2 linked regions of the Astyanax mexicanus genome follow. The protein of the gene in region 1 interacts with the protein of each later gene in a biochemical or structural test. Links are inferred from orthologs where the notes say so. Each region holds a gene or a part of one and is shown on either strand. Other genes may lie near its edges.

Region 1 (7,080 bases):
GTCTCATTTTAAATATCAGGGCCCTCAGAATTCTACCAGTGAAGCATAGAGCTACTTTGGGCTTGTTAATGGTGTAAAAATAGCAATTTCTAGCAATCTCTTGCATTGTAAGCCCGATGAGAGCATTGGCTAAAAGCGATGTATTTCGGAATAGTTGAGATGAATGGAGGATCGCTATTTGACAAAAGTTGAAACTCTTTATCACGTTTCACTACACCCCAAGTCCATTTCATGCTGAATTACCTACAGTATTTAACTCTACTCGACTTGACATCTGTTTCATTTTCTACTATCACATCCCCCACTCCCACAAATGTAGCTGGTGATGACATCAACACCTTTACTACCCTTATCAGTGGTGAGATATGTGATGACACAATAACAATGAAAACTGTTGAAGAGATCCTGTTCCTGTTTTGTATCGTTTAAACTGACAATTCTCTCTGACCAATTAGCAATCTCTTCCTTTTTCACAAAGTCCAAATTTTACAGCAAAAAACTTCAAAAGTGCGTTTTAATGGTCCAAAACATTTTAAGTGCAAGCTTGTGCAATTATCTGTGCAAATATATGGTGGATCATCAATTGAAGCATCCAATTCTGTTTACGTTCACAAAGAACCACAAATATATAGCTTCCCTTGGTAGTAAGCACTTGTACGCACGATGTAAATTAAAGTGAGTAAATGCAGATAAAACTATAAAGTTGTGAGCCTGGTTTACAGAACACAGATGGCAAAATATGTGTTGAATTTGGTGTAAAGGTTCCATTACATAAAATCCACTTTTTCCATCCCAAAACAAAACAATACTGAAATGTCCTTTAGATCTTTAGTCTGTTCTAAAAAGTGTAGAGTTGAGCACCATAAGTCTTCCACACTGCTCTTTAGGATCCTGAGCATTTAGTTTGAGCCTTAATGTGTCCAGGCTGCAATTACATTCCAATTCCTGTATATCCTTGGAGGAGCTGTAAAAGCTAAGGTCAGATGCAGCCAGAGAAACCCTAACAAATGACTGCCATCTTCAGGTGTAAAGGAAACCAAGCACATCTACACATCCAGGTGAGGAGAGAGGAAAGCTCAGTTCTTGTTTTTTATATGTGAGGAGCATAAAATAAGACTTATAGAATATGTGTGAAGGAACGTAGGGGTGTAGGTTGATGAATATGCTTGTTATGCTTAATCAATCAATCCATATATTATTATTGGTATTTACAATACCAATATACAATATATTTGGAAAAGTGCTTGGACCCCTATAATAGCATCATGCTGCCTTTCCCAGCTGACTGAGCAGCCAGTGTGTTTACCGCACTATGGAAACTGCTGCATAATGTATTGCTGCTATAGGAATAACACAGCCTTGAATTTTGCATTAGCATTCAAATACGGGGCTTCTGATTGGATGCTGGTTCTGCTACTACTGTAAAGTGCTACTGTAGTCAGTCAACTACAGGCTGATCTATGATGTGAGCTCTACCTGTCTATAATGAGCATAATGAGCAGGGAGGCGGTGGGTGACGGTGTCACGAGCTGTGTGCACGTGGGATGGGTGGTGAAGAAGGGGGGTTGCTTTATTTTTGTACTATATAACACCTGATTGGAGGGGGCATATGAATATGATCGTATTTGGATTGTTTTGATGCTTTGAGGGGGGCTTCAAGACAAAATAGACAGACGTAGCGCACGAGCTACATTGCAACACTGCGTCCTTACGACCATTTATGTATGCATTTACACGCATTTACGATCCTGGCTGGATCTGTGGGATACGCACACTCTCTGGGATACGCCACAACACGCGCGTACGCACACTCACGCACACACACACACAAGACACGACCCTGAAACAAACACTCTCCCACGTACCTCAGTGTCGTAGATCTTGGTGATGAGAGAGAAGGCGTACTTGCGGGATTCGCGGATGTGGCGGATGGCGAGCTGCACCGCGGGCTCGATGCCCTGGCTGATGCTGCTCATCAGCGCAGACTCGTTCATGGGCATGAGCACCATGATGGGCACGTCCCTGGCCGACCACGCTGCGTCCACGCTGTGGCCGGTGTAGTCGTTGCACACCTTGGCCGTGGCCAGGGTCGCCAGGAGCAGGCAGCTGGAGGCGAGGAGCAGGGACGGAGCCATGCCGCTGCCACTGCCGCTGCCACTGCCGCTTCAGCCGCTACTGATGCTGCCGCTGCTGTCTAGGCTGATGATGATGCTGAGGCTGGTGCTGGTGCTGGTGCTGATGCTGCTGCCGCCGCCGTGCGCGCGCGCGCAGGGGAGGAGGATGGGGGTGAGCTTAAGGAGCCGCGCCGGACTCAGCGCGCGGGCATTGCGATGCTCTGAGAGGAGAAGCTGAGGGGTCTGGAGAGAGAGAGAGAGAGAGAGAGAGAGAGGGAGGAGGAGGAGGGAAGAGGAGAAGAGGAGGAAGAAGAGGAGGAGGAGGGTGGCACGGGGGTATAGGTGCTCGTAGGCGCGCTGGCGGTAGAGTCGGAAGAGTGATGATGATGAAGGTAGCTTTAATTCCACAGGAGAGGAGGATGAGGAGGAGAAGGAAGAAGAAGAAGAATATATATAGGGAAGGAGAGTTTCCCCCTACCCCCTCCGCGTGCCACTCCGGTGCCCGTGCAGCTCCGGTCCCGTGTGTGTGTATATATATAATGTTGTACTTTCCTCTGCTCGCACGCGACCCCCTTCCCCGTTTAATCCGTGCGAAGTTGCGAAGCGCGAGTCAATGTCGCTCCGTGAGCGAGAGAGCCACTGAGGCAAGGATGCAGCGGGTCCAGCGCGCAAGAGCGAAAGCACGAAAGCGCGAGCCCGGAATCCCCTCTCTCTCTCGCGCGCGCGCAGGTTAGCTCGCACCTCCAGAAAGGCGAATATTATACAAAGTCCGCGGGAAGCTCAGCGTACAGTCCTGACGCACAATTCCCCAAATGATGATGAAGAAGAGCTGAGGAGGAGGAAGATGATAAGGAGGAAGAGCGGCCTGCCTGCACGCGCTGCTTCTGCTGCTTCTGCTGCTGCGGAGAGCGCGCGCCTGAGTGGCTCAGAAAAAAACACGAGGGAGGGAGGGGGAGAGAGAGAGAGAGAGAGAGAGAGAGAGAGAGAGCAGAGTGTGCGCGCATAAAATAAAGAAGGAGAGAGAGAGAGAGAGAGACAGAGAGACAGAGAGAGAGGTAGAGAAGTAGGAAGAGAGCTTAGAAAAGAGAGAGAGCTCAGAAAAGAGAGAGAGAGCACACATAGAGGGAGAGAGAGAGCAGGCAGAGTGTGCGCATAAAATAGAGAAGGAGAGAGAGAGAGAGAGAGAGAGAGAGATGAAAACAGAGGGATGCAGAGTGAGCGCAAGAAGGATAGGTGGAGAGAGAGAGAGAGAGAGGTAGAGAAGTAGGAAGAGAGCTTAGGGATAGGTGAAGAGAGAGAGAGATCAGAAAGAGAGCGAGAGCTCAGAAAATAGAGAGAGAGAAGTGCACGCGCAAGATTGTTGATGTAACAGTCTCGTGCAAGCTACCTATCTAACGTCTCCTAGATGCTATGAAAGTCACATTTAAACAAAATGATGGATGCAAGCATTAGCGTGGTTTAGTTTGCAAGACTTGTGTTTTGATTTAAAGCAGATATTCACTGAGCGAGATTCACTGTCTCTTTCAGAGAATATTATGTAAGGAAAAGGTGTTCCTGAGCATCTGATATGCAGAGATTAGGTTGCAGGAAATTGCACATAAATCGTTCTGCAGTCCAGCACTACACTTCCATTCCAATAAACAGTGCCACCTAGCAATACAGCAATGCCAAATGATATTGATGGGCTGCACCTTTTGCTTTTACATTGTTCTGCATTAGGATCATGTAATTCAGCAGTGGGAGATTATCTCTTTTATCTCTTTTTGGAAGTTCAGAGTCAGGGTGCTGTCCGTGGTCCTGATCTGGCTGCACCAGATGTATATGTACTCAAACAGTATCTATTGACTGCTGGAATGAAGGAAGGATGATAAAAAGTAAATAAATTAAAATTATAGAAATTAACAACTAGTAGTGCAATTCTCCTTTAAATAAGCACTTTTATGTTTTCTGGGTACCTGGAGAAGTGCCCTATACAGCACTGCATCCTTTTTTCAGACAGGGCATCCCTTTTGGACACTGTCTGGTAGGGATGGCATAGAAGACACTCTGTAACTGCACCTTCTTCTATTGAAATGGTAAAAGTCCATCCATAGATGGACACTTATTAAGATGCATTATTAAATATTATTGCTCTATAGGGCACGTCATTATAAGTTATTGTAAGACAGCCATAGTAGGGACTTTATTACATCGCCATAAGAGAAGCAGCCACTAGGGCACTTTGTTAATGCCACTCTAGAGGGCACTTCAGTAACACTTTTTTTAACCATAAAAATAATGTAAAATTTTGACTGTGAATATGCAATGTGCAATAAGCAGTATTATATTGACAAATCAATTTTACATCAACGTCTCAATAAAGGCATCTCCCTTAACATGCATTCACATACCAGTAGAGAACAATGGTCCAATATAGATATTGGTCAATAGTTTGGACACCCCGGCACACCGGTCACCGCTCCAGTACTGTGTGTGTATGGAGGAGCTATTGGATAAACTAGATATTATTGGTCAAACATTTGGACTCCCCGCATGTCCAGAGCAACCTAGCATACATAAGCGCTCTCAAAAGTTTGGACACCCCGGCACGCCAGCCCATGCATCCAGACCAGTCTAGCGACCATAGCCATGCTCAAACTTTGGACACCCCCAACAGCTTAGCAATCACCTAGCAACACTTCAGCAACCAGCTAGCAACCGCTTAGCAAGACAATAGCAACCAGCAGATGCACCAAAGCAACCAGCCATGAATCAACACTGCAATTATACTCAAAGTTTCGGCAGGAACTACAATCTTGTCACATGAACAGTTCCTTTCACATACAGTATAGACAGATAAAAAAAACTGGGTTCTAGGGAACCACTCATATAACACAGTCCTTATCAGGTGGATCCATCGAGCACTGGAGTTTTCACACAGCAAATCTAGCCAGAACTCATTCTGCCCACTGCAGACTGTGAGCTGCTAATACAATGCAGTATTCATCAGATGTCTGCACGCTCGAGTGTCTCCCATTGTACCGTGGTTTTATACTAAGTCCATCTGAAATCTGACAAAAGCGAGATCCGTGACTCAGCACTGAAGCGTATTGTCTGTGTGAAATGATAAATGCTCATCCACTTGTCCAATAGAATTTGATCTAATAGACCAGAATGACCAGAAGCTGATGCACATGTGTGTTAATGTACTGTGGGAGTGTGCATTTGGTTTTGAATGGCATTTTTCTTTTTGCTAGAGGCTGTAAAATCATAACAATAACTCATTAACTGATTGCATGTCAGGCCTTAATAAGTCATCATACTTCCATTCATCCAGCCATCCATCCATCTTCCTGTCTGCTTCAGGGTTGGTCAGGGTCAAGATGGGCTCAGCAGTACCTAGGATCATCGACTGCAGGCATACACAGCTTCTACAGTGTACCACAATTACTCATTCACTCAGGTCTAGGGGCAAGTTAGAATAGGCAGTTGATCTACAGACACGGGGGGAATTTACCTAACTCCTTTCAGACAGTGAACAGAGCCAGGATTGAACCTACAACCCCAGATGCCCAGTGTCCGGAGCTGCTGCACTACTGCACCACCCGTCACTGTACTTTATTCATTTATTTTTCCAGTTGTTTGATTCTTTTTCTTTTTCCTAATATCAGGCATGGGCTAGAGGGAGGAAAGGGGCCTCAACACTGAGCGGTAAAGCAGTGGAACTGTGTACTCTTGAATGATGGTGCTCTGTCTAATACTTTTGGGATGAGTTGGACAGTTGGTGACAAGGTGGGTATAGGGGTTGGAGATCAATAAGCATGCTCTAGACAGTGAATGTATTCAAATTTCTCAGCAATGCTCCAAATTCTAATAGAAAGCCTTTCCTGGACAGTAGACAGCTGCTTAAAAAAAGATCTCAAAAGAAACCATAAATAAGTAGGGGCAGGGGCATCGCCTGGACTGGGCTTCCGGGGCTTTAGCCCCGAATAATTTTCCAGCAGCCCCGAATCGTTTCGCTCAGCTCAGCTGTATTATTACTGAAGAGACAGACCACTAGCCGTGCGAGAATGATAAAACTCTTCATTCTAATCACAGAGCCAGTTCATGGATAAAGTTTCACCTTTTAGGAGAAACAACCAATCAGCTTGCTGGTTTTGCGGAGCGTGGTGGGCTAGTAGGGAAGCCCCCCATAGACATCATAGAAGTTTCTGTCTGTGTATACGAACAATTCTTGCCATATGCCACTGGTCATGATTATTACTACTCACTGAACTGTTCACTGTAAGTCATATTATAAATATATATATATATATATATATATATATATATATATATATATATATATATATATATATATATATATATATATATATATATATGAGATATATATATGGTTAATATATATGATTTATATGATGTATAAATCTCTCAGTACAAAGAAGACACTGCGGATTAAATAATGTTAAAAGCTTGCACAACTGAAATGGAAATGGAATGTCGCATCCATCCAGCACCTCCTATCAGGCCTCACTTAAGCTCTAATACTTCCCATCACTTTGCCATGATAATGCTGGCCAGTGTTGAATCTTGTTCACAAGATAACACCTCACAACTTATGCAGGCGTGGGCTTTTTCCAAGCCACCTCCTGAGGTAACACATCATTATGCTTTCTCAGTACTTCAGGTATGTCAGTGTATACAGTATGTATTATATGGATTCCCTTATATATTTGTAACAGGCTAAATATGAAAACAATCTTTGAGCAATCTTTCTGCCAATAATACACATGTAGACACGCCCACACCAGCAAACAGACAAACAGATACACACTTACACACACACACCTACAGGCTTGTCTGACATGTCTGTGCTTAATAGAGATTAATAGGACAGCCCAAGGATATCCTTCAGTGCACCTCTGACAATGCATTCCTGCTGGATGCAGTCAGAATTTTGATCATCAAATATTCAAAACAGCACGAA
Region 2 (7,476 bases), on another chromosome or scaffold:
CAACTGTACAACACTGTAAAAATGAAATTCTTGGCCAATACAAAGTATGTTCTGTTTTGCAGAATTTCATTCATTTTGATACTTTTATCATCTTCACAAAAATTAAATAGCGTAAATGCATTTTTTGGTCTTATAATGAAAAAATATTTATTGAACTCTTTAACATTTTACCATTCTAGCAGACATTCGGTGCATTCCTGACCATTGTAGCCTATTGGAGATATGTTAAATCATGTTTGAATGACCACCACCAACAACAACATGAGAATTTTATACTGCACAGACCATTTCATACCAACCCACTCTGATTGACGAGTTAATTATGAACTATGCAGAATATTTTTTAAACAATGTCCTGATAAAAAAATCCAGCTGGTTAGCCAGAGAAAACATACATTATGCTGCACACTAAAAAACAGAGGTACTTAAAGGTACACTTTTCATAATTGTACCATCAGAGGTATAATATTGGTCTTTACAGGGTCAGATGTGTTCCCTCTGAAGTACAAAGTCTTTCCTAACATCAGAAAGTACACACTTGTACCATTTAAGCAGGCAAAATGTACATTCGTCATCACTGTACTAATAAACAATATATATTTTAATTATACTTTTTTTCATTTGAAAGCCAGACAATTTAGGATCATCAAGTTCTTGACACATATTCTGTTGATGATAATGTTTATAATGTTTACTGGTACAAAAAAACATACAAACATACAGCTTTGTATGTTTGTGTGTGTATGCTGGGTATGTTCTTTATCTATCTCTTGAGCAGGCATATATTTGATTTTTTTCTGGATTATCAGCTGGATTTTCTTTGATCAGGTTTGTGAAACTGTCACCTTAAGTATAAAGAAATGTAAAGCTGTCTAAACAACATCTGGACAGATGTTACTCTACAGATGTGAGGGAGCTATATAAGCTGCAGTCTGTGAGTGACTGTTTTTTTTTTTTAGTATTATTTCTATAGGCTATTATTTACAGCAGTGCCAGTGTTGAGTCTCAGTCTCTACAGAACACGTATTCTGTGTAACTGGTCCAGACCTTGTCCTCGCTGGGCTCGTTGCTGGAGTACGCGCAGGTGCCCGTGGAGCTGCACGCGACCATGCGGAACCCGAACTCGGTGAGTTTGTCGAACGCCTGCTCGAGGAAGTTGTACTTGAGGTAGTAGCGCGAGGTGTAGCGCTCCGGGGGTCTGTCGGGGTCTCGGCTCTCGTTGAGGGTCTCCCCGAACACCTCCTTGGCCAGGGAGGTTTTTCCGCAGACGGTGATCCGAGCCACGCGCCTGAACTTGGCGTCGGTCTGGATGTCGCGCCCGATAGTGTAGGACCCCCGGTAGCCCACCGTGATGTAGCCGCAGGACTTCTTGTTCTCCTGGGAGGGAGACGGGGAGGTGGAGGGGGGCAGCAAGGCGCCCCCCGGGCCGGGAGCCTCGTCCCAGTCGCTGCTGATGTGGGACAGGTCCTCGCTGATGGAGTTCTCCTTGCTGACTCGGGGGCTCAGGCGCTTGGAGAGCTCGCGCAGCTGGAAGAATTCCGCCTCGCGCTGCAGGCGGCTCTTCTCCGGGAAGTAGTCGGGCAGCACGAGGTTCAGGTCCCGCAGGTAGTCCAGGATGTAGCGGAAGAGGAAACCGTCCCTGTCCAGGAAGAAGCGCCCCTTGCTGTCCCGCGCGAGCTCGCGGGGCGTCTTCTTACTGAACATGCTCCAGAGCAGAGAGTCCGGAACCGACACCAAAGTTCTGTGCCTGGTCACGTACACCTGACCGCCCACGTTCAGCTCGATGATCTCAGAGAACGGGGCTGGAGAGTCTCCTCCGTTGGTCACGCCGCGGTCCGGGTCCGCTAGAGCCATCTCTGCTCCTCCAGCTGTCCCAGTACTCTCCCAGTAGTATCCTAGCTTCCCGTATCCAAGTGCGCACGCGACTCCAGCACCGAACAGCTCAAAACCTGCTGCTGCTGCTGAGCTGCATCTGCTGAGCGGCTGAGGGGCTGCTGAGGGTCTTTCTCTCACCCTCCCCTCCCTCAATACTCAACACAGTGAAGATGATGAAGATGGGGGGAGGGGGAGAGGAGGGGTGTTTAAACAGAGAGCGCAGAGAGAGAGAAAGAGGGGAATGGGAGGAGAATGCAGCCTGCTTCTCCTGCTCCTCCTAGCCTGCTTCCTATGCTCCTACTGCTTACGCTTCCTCCTGCTGCTCCTCCTTGCCTGGTGCTCTTACTTCTCCTGCTCCTGCTTCCTACGCTCCTCCTGCAGCTCCTCCTTGCCTGCTGCTCTTGCTTCTCCTGCTCCTACTTCCTATGCTCCTCCTGCTTCTGCTTCCTCTGCTGCCCCTGCTTCGTCTGCATATCCTGCTCCTCCCAGCCTTCTCCTGCTGCTCTTGTTAACCTGCTGCTCTTGCTCCTCTTGCTTCCTCTGCTTTCCATGCACCTCCTGCTTATTCTAGCCTGCTCCTCCTGCTCATGTTTCCTATGTTCCTGCTGCTCCTGTTAGCTTGCTGGTCTTGCTCCTCCTGCTTCCTCTGCCTCTTGTAGTCCTGCTAGACTGCTTCTCCTGCCTCCTCTGCTACTCCTGCTTCCTGTGCTTCTCCTGCTCCTGCCAGCCTGCTCCTCCTGCTCTTGTTAGCCTGCAGCTCTTGCTTCTTCTGCTTTCTATGCTTCTCCTGATTCTGCTTCTTCTGCTCCTGCTTCATCATCTTCTCCTGTTCCTGCTAGCTTGCTTCTCCTGCTCCTTATAGCCTCCTGTTGCTCCTGTTAGCCTGCTGCCTTGTTCCTCTTGCTTCCTCTGCTTTTCATGCACCCCCTGCTTATACTAGCTGGTTTCACCTGCTCCTGCTTTTTCTGCCCATTATGCTCATACTCGCCTACTTCTTCTATTCCTGCTGCTGCTCCTGCTGCCAGCCTGCTTCTTCTGCTCTTCCTGCTTTTACTGCTCCTGCTTTCTCTACTCCTCCTGCTCTCCTACTTCTCCTGCTCCCCTTGCGGTTGCTTATCCTACTGCTGCTCTTCCCGCTATTCTGTTTCTCCTGCTCCTCCTCTTCCTCCTGCTAGCCTGCTTCTTCTGTTCCTGCTGCTTCTGTTGCTGCTGCTGTGGATGATGATGGGCAGTGATGGGAGATGATAGTCTAGTCGTTAGTCAGTTCCCTTTACTGAGTTCACTTAAGGACCTGCAGCTGGAGGCTCAAGGTTCTCTTTAGCTCAGGGTCTCCTGACTCTATAGACCTCTTCTCTCACACAGTCCCCCTTTCTCTATCACAGTATCAAACACAGCGTCAGTCAAACACACCATGAATAAATACAGCTGTTCTAACGCTGTGTGTCTCTCTGAACACTTTCATCAATGTTATGTTAGTTTCTAGTAAAGCTCCTGGAGCACTGTCTCCACAGCCTTTTCTCCACAGGCTGCGCAGGCAGTGTGCAAACATTAGGCAGATCTGCAAGGTTAGAGCGCCACCTGCTGCTAAGTGTGAAGTATTTCACAATTTTCACAAACATTTAAAAAACGGACACAAAATTATTATGCCCGCTTCTTGAAAGTTGTGAAATTTCAGTTACTCCTTTTTATCCCACTAAGGTCAGGCCTCACTTCTCTTTCTTCATATAATGTGGCCACTAAGGAAATGAAAGCAAAACTAAATAGCCTTCTTCTTTTGCTGATCTCAGAAAAGAGTGTAAAGGGGTGCATTATTAGGTTAAATTATGTTTTTAAGTAGTATAATTTATATTTAAGTCTAAAGCATGCTTTGGTCAGTACCTTAGTCAAGCTGGTTTAGGTTGTTGGTCATCTTAGCTCATACATAGGGTATGTTTACATATACTTTAAGATTTAATGTTAATTCTGCTGCTATTACTATGTCTAAAATGCCTCATATTTTCTAGTGCAACAACTTACCCATTGTAAGCAAAAAATATGTGTACATGCCTATACATATGCTAGCAGATAGACTCCTCATATTGAGCTGTATCTTTCTAGATATCTATATCAAGCTATAAAGATAATCAACCTAAGAATGTTAAACATAATCAAGCTGGCTGTACAGTATGACCAGCATGACCAAGCTAGAGCTGGGAGTTTAATCAAATTAATTAACTGTTTTAATGCGATTTTCAAAATGTGATACTCAAGATAATATACAGCTCTGGAAAAAATAGGAGACCACTTTAGTTTCTGAATTAGTTTTTTCTGATTTTGCTATTTATAGGTATATGTTTGAGTAAAATGAATGTTGTTGTTTTATTCTGTAAACTACTGACATTTCTCCTAAATTACAAACAAACAAATATTGTCATTTAGGGCATTTATTGGCAGAAAATGAGAAATGGCAGAGCTTTCAGACCTCAAATAATGCAAAAAAAACAAGTTAATATTCATAAAGTTTTAAGAGTTCAGAAATCAATATTTTTGGAATATCCCTGTTTTTTACACAGTTTATATGCATCTTGGCATGTTCTCCTCCACCAGTCTTACACACTGCTTTTGGATAACTTTATGCCACTGCTGATGCATACATTCAGTTCAGCTTGGTTTGATGGCTTGTGATCATCCATATTCTTCTTGATTATATTCCAGAGGTTTTTAATTATGTAAAATCAAAGAAACTCATAATTTTAAGTGGTCTCTTATTTTTTTTTTTCCAGAGCTGTATATATCTTTACATATAGAAGCTGCAAGATTAAATTTTAGTATAGACATTTGCTTCTGTCAAAAATGAGCCACCATTATGTTTAACAGATAAAGTATCTTTCTTCTCTTAGAATGTAATGGCTTTGCCCAAAGTGTCCCCAACATCAAAGAAACATTAAACCACCTGTGTTTATGCCAGGGCATATAGATTATGTCCGGGTAATTTCTGGCATGTAGAAGGGGCTACATTTTTATTAACAATGCTAACTGATATTTTTGGTATTGTCCTTTATATAAATATTTCTGTCTGGAGTTTCTAATATTTTCCCTGTGTTTTCCAAACACACTTTGCAATTAATGCAATTAATCAGCTGATAATCAGCCCATTGCCAATTAAAATGTCAATTCAACTTAAATTTGTAAGTACACAACTGATTTAAATGACTTCCAATGTAAATTCCACAGTGTAGACAAAAGTTATTTTAAATTGCTTGTTCTCTTCTATAGTCACACAGTTCAACAGGCATTTTTTTCCTTTCACAATATAGTATTGTGTAATATCAAACCAACTTTCATTTTCACTCAGCTAATCACAAACTCCCAGTTCATCATTTTTTATGAGAACAGTGAAAATAGCAGAACAATTTCATTGTTGTACTAATGTAGATCTCACACCCATATGTTCTGTTTCATTTCCACACATCATCAATTTCTGAAAATTCCAGACCCTACTTCCACATGTGGCAGACAGTGAACTGAGAATATTGTGTATTGCAAAATGTACCATGTGAGGATGTGTTTCATGTGGACATGGTTAATGTAACCCTCATGTGTGCGGTTTTATAGACCACAGAACCTCTTAAGAAATAGTTTTAGACACACACACACATATACATACACTTACTTAAGTCTTCTTCTTTATGTTCTTGATGTTCAACACAGTTTGTTAATTAAATAAACATAATTACGTCACATGAAAGCAAATGAACTGAGTTTTTTTCTTCAAATTAGACTCGATTTAATACTTTGCATCAAACAATGGTTCGTTCAAAGCATTTATTTAAGCTGAATAAACCCAGTTAAATGGCTCATTTCCACATGAAGTATTTTTCCAATTCACTTTTTCCTATGGCTCCCACACAATGTTTAATTTTTTTAGCCTGATAATACTGTTATATAATCAATTTCTTAAATGCGCACATACAATTTATTGCAAATGAAAATAAGGCTTGGAGATAAAGAGGCACTAAACCCTAAACCATTTTTTTTAAATTAATAATTGAAATGTGTTCCTCTGAAGTAATGAAACGTACAAAAGCTGCTTAAAAATTGTATAAACTTTTCCTAAACTTTAAAAATCATTTTTATTGAGCCTCTTTTATTATTTTATTAAGCCTCTATAACACCCCTCTCAGGTTTAACTGTGCTATAAGTGAGGATTATGTTTTTGCATACTTTGGTTCTTGGACAGACACAATATGCAATTGAAACAACAATAATACCACTCCCGTGGTGACGTCTAACCATTTCTCACCACTATCGGAGGCACAGCACTCAGCCCAATCAGCTCTTCCTCCTGCCCCACCCCTAAACCCATACATCACCCAGTGCCCCCCCAAACTACCAGTTTTCAAAGGGCGGAGTCAGCTAAAATCAGCGAGTTTAGTTACCCTTTAAGGCTTAAATCTATGCAGCTTTTCTATGAACTTAATTATACTGAAAAAATATGATACATTTATTAATTAAGTATGAAATAAAAACATTATGTACGTTTCAGCTATACACTGTATTTGGTCTCAGGAATTCTCAATGAGCAAATAAAGACAAAAACGAATGATTTTAATGAATTTTTGTATGTATAATTACACTACACATAAAACAACAATGTATTGTGCTACATGCTTTTATTTTCATTTTTTCTCAGTTTAATTGCATGTTTGTGCAAATGTGTGTAAGGAAAAACATCTTCTTAAGTGGTCAGCTATATGGTGTCATTGTGCAATAGTGTACTTCTCTGATGCATGCGCTGTGTTTTTTTGTGGTTTGCTCACTTTGGAAAGTTGGTGAGGCAGTTCTTATAGGGGCAGCTCTGTATATAATGGCAGCAGAGTTGTCAGACCTCACAGTAACAGCTCAGCTGTTTGAGTACACAATGCTGCGAAAGGTATAAACAGATATTTTTGAACAGATATTTACAAATATACCACTTTAATTTGCAGCTTTAAAATATATATCCCTGAATCAGGCTTCATTTAATAAAAAAAAGCTCTGATGGATGAAAGTAGTCTTTAGTTTGGACTTTTAAAAAAATTACTTTTGGTTGTTTTACAGAGTGTTACAGAGAGCTTCGGTGCAGCTGTGTCATCGCTGAATGCAGCTCATCTGACAGATGGAGTTATCAGGAGAAGCAAGAGGATGATGCTGGACACACTGGGGGTCGGGTTACTAGGAACCAGCAGCCCAGTCTTTAATGTGGTTCTTCAGCATGGCAAGGTAACACTTCAGCACTGCACCTTTTAGTAGTATTAACAGATTTTAACATACAGCTCTGGAAAAAAAATAAGAGCCCATCTAAAAATGATGAGTTTCTTTGATTTTACCAAATTGAAAACCTCTGGAATGTAATCAAAAGGAAGATGGATGATTACAAATCATCAAACCAAACTGAACTGCTTGAAGTTTTGCTCCAGGAGTGGCATACATTTTCCAAAAGCAGTGTGTAAGACTGGTGGATGAAAACATGCCAAGATGCATAAAAACTGTGATTAAAAACCAGGGTTATTTAACCAAATATTGATTTCTGAAAGCTTTGCATATTTTTTGTTATTTCTGCCATTTCTCATTTTCTGCAAA

Evidence for each region. The genes of interacting proteins can lie anywhere in the genome.
Region 2: the proteins of gabbr2 (region 1) and kctd12.1 form a complex in vitro, tested with the Homo sapiens proteins (2 studies listed by BioGRID). The link is inferred for Astyanax mexicanus from reciprocal best matches to the Homo sapiens genes GABBR2 and KCTD12.

Annotation. Positions count from the first base shown.
Region 1 is NC_064410.1:47,770,182-47,777,261, forward strand, and holds the start of gabbr2 (gamma-aminobutyric acid type B receptor subunit 2), read right to left. Parts: upstream 3,060-7,080; 5' UTR 2,136-3,059; coding exon 1,866-2,135; intron 1-1,865. UniProt on the Homo sapiens protein: Component of a heterodimeric G-protein coupled receptor for GABA, formed by GABBR1 and GABBR2. Within the heterodimeric GABA receptor, only GABBR1 seems to bind agonists, while GABBR2 mediates coupling to G proteins.
Region 2 is NC_064418.1:28,739,574-28,747,049, reverse strand, and holds the start of kctd12.1 (BTB/POZ domain-containing protein KCTD12.1), read right to left. Parts: upstream 3,093-7,476; 5' UTR 1,855-3,092; coding exon 1,006-1,854; 3' UTR 1-1,005. Other genes in the region: acod1 (cis-aconitate decarboxylase), read left to right, coding at 6,776-6,787, 6,955-7,116. UniProt on the Homo sapiens protein: Auxiliary subunit of GABA-B receptors that determine the pharmacology and kinetics of the receptor response. Increases agonist potency and markedly alter the G-protein signaling of the receptors by accelerating onset and promoting desensitization.